Rattus norvegicus: one gene and its partner. The protein of the gene in region 1 purifies or fractionates together with the protein of each later gene. This does not show direct contact. Links are inferred from orthologs where the notes say so. Each region holds a gene or a part of one and is shown on either strand. Other genes may lie near its edges.

Region 1 (3,747 bases):
AAAAAGGGAGGCAGTTCAGGCGGAGCCTATTGGGTCATCCCAAGCTGACCTCGGGAGGGGGGTGTCAAGAAGCACGTGGAGGTGCACCAGTGAACCCCTCGTTCCCAACTTAGAACATTCGGGGCGAAGAGTATGGAAGATATACCCAGTCCCAGAGCGCAAGCTCAGCCTTCCAAAGCCCAGAGTCCTCCAGCCCAAGGGGAATGGTGTCCTTCCCACGCCCGAGACCGCACACACTGGCCCCGCGGCGCCGCACCTGGAGGGCGGAAGCTCCCCCGCCGCGCCCCGCCCCGGGGGAGGGCGCTGGGCCTCGGGATGGAGAGGGCGCGTGTTTACAAACAAGGGGGCGGGAGAGCGGGGAGGGGGCGCGAGGGGCGCCGGCCCGGGCCCACGGGACACTCACCCCGCCCGCTGTCGCCCATCCCGTCCCGGCCAGCCTCCCCCGGCTCCGGCTCCAGGGTTTGCTGCTCTCCGGCCGCCGCCGCCGCGGGATCCAGCCAGGGCCGCCGCCGCCGCCACCGGGACGCGACCCCACAATGCATCTCTTTTCTCACCCCCACCGGCCCACACTGCCCCGCGGCATGCCGCGGCGGGAGGAAGGGCGGACGAGTGGCCCAAGACATGACGCCGGGGCCGAGGGTGGGGGAGCCGGAGAGGCGCCAGGGACGCGCAGGGGGCAGAGCGGGGGACTCAGGGAGCGCGAGGAAGCCGCCGAGGAGGGCGGGCTCCGGCCTGTGGCAGCGCGACTCAAGCGCCGCGCTCGGCTCGGCACCGAGGTGACAGCACCGACGCGGCCGCCATCTTTGTATAGACGGGAAGTCTCGCCTCGAGCTCCCGCCCCCTCGCCGAGATGGAAACGGAGGAGGCGGTCTCCGCCGGCCTGTCAGCCACTTCGCCCGCCGTCCCCTCAGATAACCCCCGGGTGCGCGCATGCGCCCTGGGGCCGTGGCCGCGCCGTCCTCGGGGCGCCGCCATGTTGGTAAAGGTAGCGGGGCGCAGGCAAGAGGGAACTTCCGGATCTCGCGGGAGCTTGAGGCGCGAGTGCCACGTCCCAGCAAACCGAGAACGGAGAGGATCCCGGAGCCGGTGAGAACTCCCTGCTGCTCCCTTACGGCGCTTTCCATGCTTTTACCCTAACTACTGAGCCATAGAGACGAGGGCCCAGAGAGACCGTAAAGTTGCGGATCAAAGGCTAGAGCGGTGTTGGGGGGTGGGAGGTTTGGGGGAGCTGCATCCAGGAAGGGTGTCGGGGATGAAGAGAACTGGCCTTGGGAACAATGTAAGAGGGGAGCAAGTGGTATAGAGTGGACGGAAGGGCTTCAAGGGAAGCGGATCCCGCATAGGTAGAGAGTCAAGTAGACTCGTCTCTGTTCCTCTGGTCAGCGTGATGGCCAGGGTCCTGCGGGACCCCCACTGGGTGGCTGTGGGACTGCTGACCTGGGCAGCTTTGGGGCTGCTGGTAGCCGGACACGAGGGTCATGGTGACCTGCACAGAGACGTGGAAGAGGACTTCCATGGCCACAGCCACGGACACTCACATGAAGATTTCCACCATGGCCACAGCCATGGCCATGGCCACACTCATGAGAGCATCTGGCATGGGCATGCCCACAGCCACGACCATGGACATTCACGGGAGGATGTGCACCATGGCCATAGCCATGGCCACTCCCACGATAGCCTCCACCACAGAGGACATGGACATAGCCATGGAGCCTCTAGGGAGGCTGGGGCTCCAGGCATCAAGCACCACCTGGACACTGTCACCCTCTGGGCCTATGTGAGTCCCCGGGGGACGTGGGGAAGAGGGACTGGTGCTTAATTGTTGGAAGACTCCATATTTGCTTTCTGACTCTCCTCCAGGCACTGGGGGCCACAGTGCTAATCTCCGCGGCTCCCTTCTTCGTGCTCTTCCTCATCCCTGTGGAGTCAAACTCTCCCAGGCATCGTTCTCTGCTCCAGATCCTGCTCAGTTTTGCTTCTGGGGGGCTCCTGGGAGATGCCTTCCTCCACCTCATCCCTCACGCCTTGGGTAAGTGACATGTGGGCTCCATCTCAGAAACACAAGCTGTTTTGTTCGTCCTCTTTAATGATCCCAGGTCTCCCAATAGTTCTCAAGTACACATCCCCCATCTGTCCTTTTTCCCTTCTTCCTGTAGAACCTCATTCGCACGATACTCCGGCACAGCCTGGCCACGGACACTCCCACAGCGGTGAGAAAGAGTTAGGGACTGGGACGCTGGGAGAGGCCTGCCTCTTCCCTTCCTTCAGCACTTATATCTGAGTCTGCATCGCCCTCATGCCTCATTCCTCCATCCCAGGCCAGGGCCCCATTCTCTCTGTGGGGCTGTGGGTTCTCAGTGGGATTGTCGCCTTTCTTGTGGTGGAGAAGTTTGTGAGACACGTGAAAGGAGGGCACGGACACGCGCACGCGCACGGACACGGACACTCGCACGGAGACAGCCACGCGCACGGACACAGCCACGCACACGGGGATAGGCATGGTGAGCCCACCCCCATTGCCTGCTACACAACACGCTCAGGCTCATCCGCTGGAGCAGGACACGGAAAAAGCTCTGTTCCCCACTCTGATCAACTCCTGTCCCCCTCAGAGTGTCCTTCAAAGGGAAAGCCCAGTTCAGAGGATGAAAAGGAAGCAGGGGGCTTGCGGAAAAGGAGAGGAGGAGACACGGGGCCCAGAGATGGCCCTCTGAAACCTCAGAACCCTGAAGAAGAAAAAACAGGCTCAGGTAAGGGATGAGTTGATGGGCTTACTACTCTGAGTTTCTCAGAGTGTTTGCTGTGGGTGACGGTGGGGCTCTAGGAAATGGAGTGTGCATGCGTGTGTGAGCATGCACGAAACAGCTCGAGGACTGGTGGTGATGACACCTTCAGTCATTTTTGTCCTTTGTCTATTTACAAAAAGACCTGCGTGTGTCTGGGTACCTGAATCTGGCTGCTGACTTGGCACACAACTTCACAGACGGGCTGGCCATTGGTGCTTCCTTCCGTGGGGGCCGAGGGCTTGGGATCCTGACCACGATGACAGTCCTGCTGCATGAAGTGCCTCATGAGGTTGGGGACTTTGCCATCTTGGTCCAGTCTGGCTGCAGCAAGAAACAGGTTGGTGCTGACAGCCTGCCATTGGTTCCTCACGAGCTACACTACCATCCAGCCTTTTAGAACCCGGGAAAGTTGCTTCTCTATCTCCGAATCTCAACCCTCCCATAAGTACAGCCTGGAAAGGGCCTCTGATGGCCTACAGTTTCTCAGGAGATGTCTGTTCTAGTACCCCCTCCTCGACCCTTTATTTTTACCAGGCTGGTATGGGGCTGGGGGCCTTGGGTGTGGTCCTGAGGCAGTCTCATTGCTGACATGTTAACTAGCCAGGGAGCCCCAGGCAGCTGCTTGCCTCTGCTTCCTGTGCTGGTGCCTGGGGCCCAGACTCCTGCCCTGGTGTTTGTGCAGCAGATACTACAATGGGTCCATCTCCCCACCTCACTTTCTGTCTCCTATCCTTACATGGACACCACACAGCTGTACCCCACTGGTCCCCCAACCTTTAGTTGTTGATGATCCTGTCTTTCTCCTTTCTGCCCTCCAGGCGATGCGTCTGCAACTCTTGACTGCAATTGGAGCATTGGCAGGCACAGCCTGTGCCCTTCTCACTGAGGGAGGGGCAGTGGGCAGTGAGGTGGCTGGTGGTGCAGGTCCCGGCTGGGTTCTGCCATTCACTGCAGGTGGATT
Region 2 (3,747 bases), on another chromosome or scaffold:
TGGATGCTAAGCATAAATGAAGATTTGTTAGCCTTCACAAGGGAAAATACCTCAGCTCTTGGTTGAAAATGGCTGCAGAATTAGGTAGAATTCACAGACACTTGTCTTGCTTCGTACCTCATTTTAAGATGGGTGCAGGCTCTCTAGAACATGTCTTCAGCTGTGATTTTTTTTTTTTAAGGACATGAAAGATTTTTCACTTTCTAATGGCTCTTGTCCAAAAGGAAATAGTATTTCAAGTCATGATGACTTCACTCTCAATTAACCTGTGTCCTAAGGTCACAAAACAAGACACAGGAGGGTGAGGGCAAGAGAAAGAATCCACACTGAATACTTTCATAAGTCCTCAGTAGCTACTGCGGGTCTTCAGAGTGATCCTGAGAGCTACCAGGACATGGACTATATTATAGTTCCAGTCTTAAGTAACTGACTCTTGACAGATGTTTGAGAAAGCTAAAATTCTGTCTATTATAAAACTGAAAGAAAGCTCAAGAAAAAAACTAAGCATATTTATATTCAATCCCTTTCCCAGTGCCCCAAGCAGGTGTCTGCTTTGTGTCAGTGTTACTTGATGGAAATCGTAGATAAAGACAACTTTATTCAAATGTAAGAGTACAAAACTTTGATCTCAAGTTCTGAAAATACAGCCTTATGTGTTTGCTAAGTTAATATGCAAACTTTCGGTCTTCTATTAAGTCCTGGGATAGTTTTGCAGCTTAAGGCACCCCATAAGCAGAAACTAGTAAATAGGGACATATTTCAAAAGAATGACTGTAGGTCCCTGGAAACCGACAAGAGGGTTTTATTTTACAAATATTTACATTTTAAAGGAGGAGAATCGGAATAAATAACTCTACATTTTCTAAAGTAAAAGATTCCAAGGAAAGTCGGAACCCTTAAAGCTAGGAAAAGCTCTCTTTAAAGTTTGTAAGAGAGAGCTAGTGTTTACTGATTAGGTGCAGTTTGGAAGTTCGGCATCAAGGAAATTAAAGCGAGTTTGGTATCGCTCACGTTTCCCCACATTCTTTCGTCTTGTTCAGGTGACCCATTCCAGCCTAGCTGTCTCACTAATAGGAAGACTCATGAAGAATGGAAAGCCTGGAATAGACCGCCCGGCTGAGGGTCCCACAGCCACGCGTGCGCAATAGGCTCGAACACCCTGACGTCACTGAGCGCGGCCCGCCCCTACATATTAGCAACCGGAGGCGTCCGTAGCAGCAGTGGCTGCGGAGATGTACGAACTTCCGGTTGTCCCCGCAGGCCGCCGCTGCCGCCGCCGCCGAAGCCGCCCGGCGCAGTCTCAGCCACCTGCTCTCCGCCGGAGAGTGGGCTCTGCGGTTCCGGCGCGCCCATGGTCGGCGCTGCGGACCGGGAGGCCGGCCCGGCGGCTGCGGCGTGCTGAGAGGCCGGCGTGGAGACCATGCCGACCCGGCGCGGCTGCTCCGGGCCTTGCCACTTCCTGGCCTCGGCTTTCGTGCTGCTGTTGCTGCCCGCGCTGAACCAGTCCGTGGTGCTACCGTCGACTGTGCCCAGGGCGGTGCAGGAGTCCAAGCCTCTCGAACCCGGGCCGCGTACGTTGTCGCCGCTGCCTCCCGGACCCACCGCGGCCCAGCCGCGAGGCCAAGCTCAGTCTGAAGGCGCCGGGCCGCGAGGCGCGGAGAGCCGCAATGGCAGCATTCCCGGGGCGGCGTCCGAGGCGGACGGTCCTGAAGGGAAGGCCGGAGAAAGCTCTCTGGGTGGCAGCCTGGCCGTGAGTCCCAATCCTAGCGACAAGCCCATGACCCAAAGGGCCCTGACCGTGTTGGTGGTGGTGAGCGCCGCGGTGCTGGTGTACTTCGTGGTCAGGACCGTCAGGTGAGGCATAGCCTCGATGGGCATCCCCTGAGGCCTAGAGCTGGCTGACAGGAGGCCTGCTGTGTGAAGCAGGGAGAATGTTTGTAACCTGGGCTTCACTCACCCCCTTCTCTGGTCCCCAGTCCCCAGCGTCAGGGGCTGGAATCTAGGACCTTCTGGTTGGCTGTCTTAATGGCCTGTGCTACCTTAGCAGGTGACACCAGCTGTTGCCTTTCATCTGTAATTCAGTAACCTACCTTCAGCATCTTGCTCTCTGAGACTTGCCTCTGCCTTAATATACCCCGAAGTGGAAGTGCTCTCCCATCCCCTGAAATTTTGACAACACTGCTGTGCGATACTTTACATACTACTCTGCACTTGGTGTAACTCACCTGTCAGTGCTGTCGCCTGTTAGAATGCAGTCCTATTTGTCAGTCAGGGTACCACGAAAGTAAAAGCAGAAAGACCTAACGGACCTTTCACTTCTGCAAAACTTACCAGTTGTGTTTCTTAGATGGAGCCCTTGATCTATCCCTAAGTAACTTGTACTCAGTTTATTGGGTACTACATCTCTGGAGAGGTATCAAATAGAGAAGACCCCACCAGAAGGGGGTAGCCAAGAGAACAGCTGTGGAAAAGCTAATGGTTTTTCCTTTCCCTAAAGTAAGAACAGATGGTATTTTGTGAGATTTGTACTGGTTTATTTATTTCCTGTTTTCCAAATTACTTCACACTTTCCCCATAACTACACACTGCATTAGTTAATATGTCTTTAAATCCCCAAAACAGAATTTAGTGTTTTTAAAAGGTGTTTGTGAATGGAAAACCAACATGACTTGTCTCAAAGAATCTTACAGAATTTGTTCCTTTTACACATCTTCATTAGCTACAGTTTTACATTTGTTTTCCAAATAATACATTATCTTACAAGTGTATAAAATACAAACACTTTACTGGTAAGGTTTGAAATTCTACATTGAAACTGATAGCAAGGAAGTCCGCCCTGTCTAGTTAGTGTTGTATATCTTCTTAAAGAACAATCAAAAATTGTGTATTAAATTGATCCCTTCTTTGCCAAGGTGATACGTTCTTGCTGGTGGATTTTCTTTATATCCATTAACCAAATATTACAAATGATTGGATGCAGACAAAAATTTTACAGTCTATGGTATCTTTTCCTTTTTCCCATTTTTTTATTTTTTATACATGGTTTAGGCCAAATGTTAAATAGATTTTTGAAGACAAAAAAAGTCATTCTTTTCACTATTTTTGGTTTTAAGAACAGCTAACTTAAGGGTTAAGGTTTTTAAATCAAGTGTTTTCTTTGTTCAGATCAGGTCAGAATCTACATAGCCTCCCGAATTCTTTAATAAGTTTTAAGAATGGAAAGGAATTTAAAGCACTTAAGAGCGCCTCACATAAACAGTGTCATTGAGCTAGAAACTGTTGATTTACAAAGTTCAGAAAACTTGTCACTTTGTCACTGGGAAGTTAGTATTCAGAAGTTATTAAAAGCTTACGACCACCAAAGTGAGACTTAAGAAATCTTAGCGGAGAATTAAATCATTTTTACTATGTAGTTTTTATTTAATACTGTGCATAATTCCTGTCAGGACCATGTTATCCTTTATAGAAAGCATGGCTATACTGACCATTTCCTTGACGTGCTGCTTGTTCTTGTGTTTTTATTTTGTCCTCCCTTACTTGGCATCTTCTGTAAAAATGGTCACTGCTATCACCTCTCTGTGTTCCTTTCAGTACATCTTGAAAGGACTCACCCTTTTCTGATTCTCGGATGATTCCGTATCCTGTGGTATGAGAAGAGAGAGCCAGATTTAGCACTGTTGCTGATAAAAACTGCATACTTCAGGCAGCGTCTAACCCGTTGGTGTACTTCAAGTTCTACATTTAGTT

The links. The genes of interacting proteins can lie anywhere in the genome.
Region 2: the proteins of Slc39a7 (region 1) and Fam174a purify together in Homo sapiens (co-immunoprecipitation; 3 studies listed by BioGRID and IntAct, with this or other methods). This does not show direct contact. The link is inferred for Rattus norvegicus from reciprocal best matches to the Homo sapiens genes SLC39A7 and FAM174A.

What each region holds. Positions count from the first base shown.
Region 1 is NC_086038.1:4,824,037-4,827,783, forward strand, and holds the start of Slc39a7 (zinc transporter SLC39A7 precursor), read left to right. Parts: upstream 1-1,086; 5' UTR 1,087-1,387; coding exon 1,388-1,780; intron 1,781-1,863; coding exon 1,864-2,032; intron 2,033-2,159; coding exon 2,160-2,213; intron 2,214-2,321; coding exon 2,322-2,504; intron 2,505-2,612; coding exon 2,613-2,750; intron 2,751-2,926; coding exon 2,927-3,123; intron 3,124-3,604; coding exon 3,605-3,747. Other genes in the region: Rxrb (retinoic acid receptor RXR-beta), read right to left, coding at 404-932. UniProt on the Homo sapiens protein: Transports Zn(2+) from the endoplasmic reticulum (ER)/Golgi apparatus to the cytosol, playing an essential role in the regulation of cytosolic zinc levels.
Region 2 is NC_086027.1:103,188,906-103,192,652, forward strand, and holds the start of Fam174a (membrane protein FAM174A precursor), read left to right. Parts: upstream 1-1,357; 5' UTR 1,358-1,420; coding exon 1,421-1,854; intron 1,855-3,747.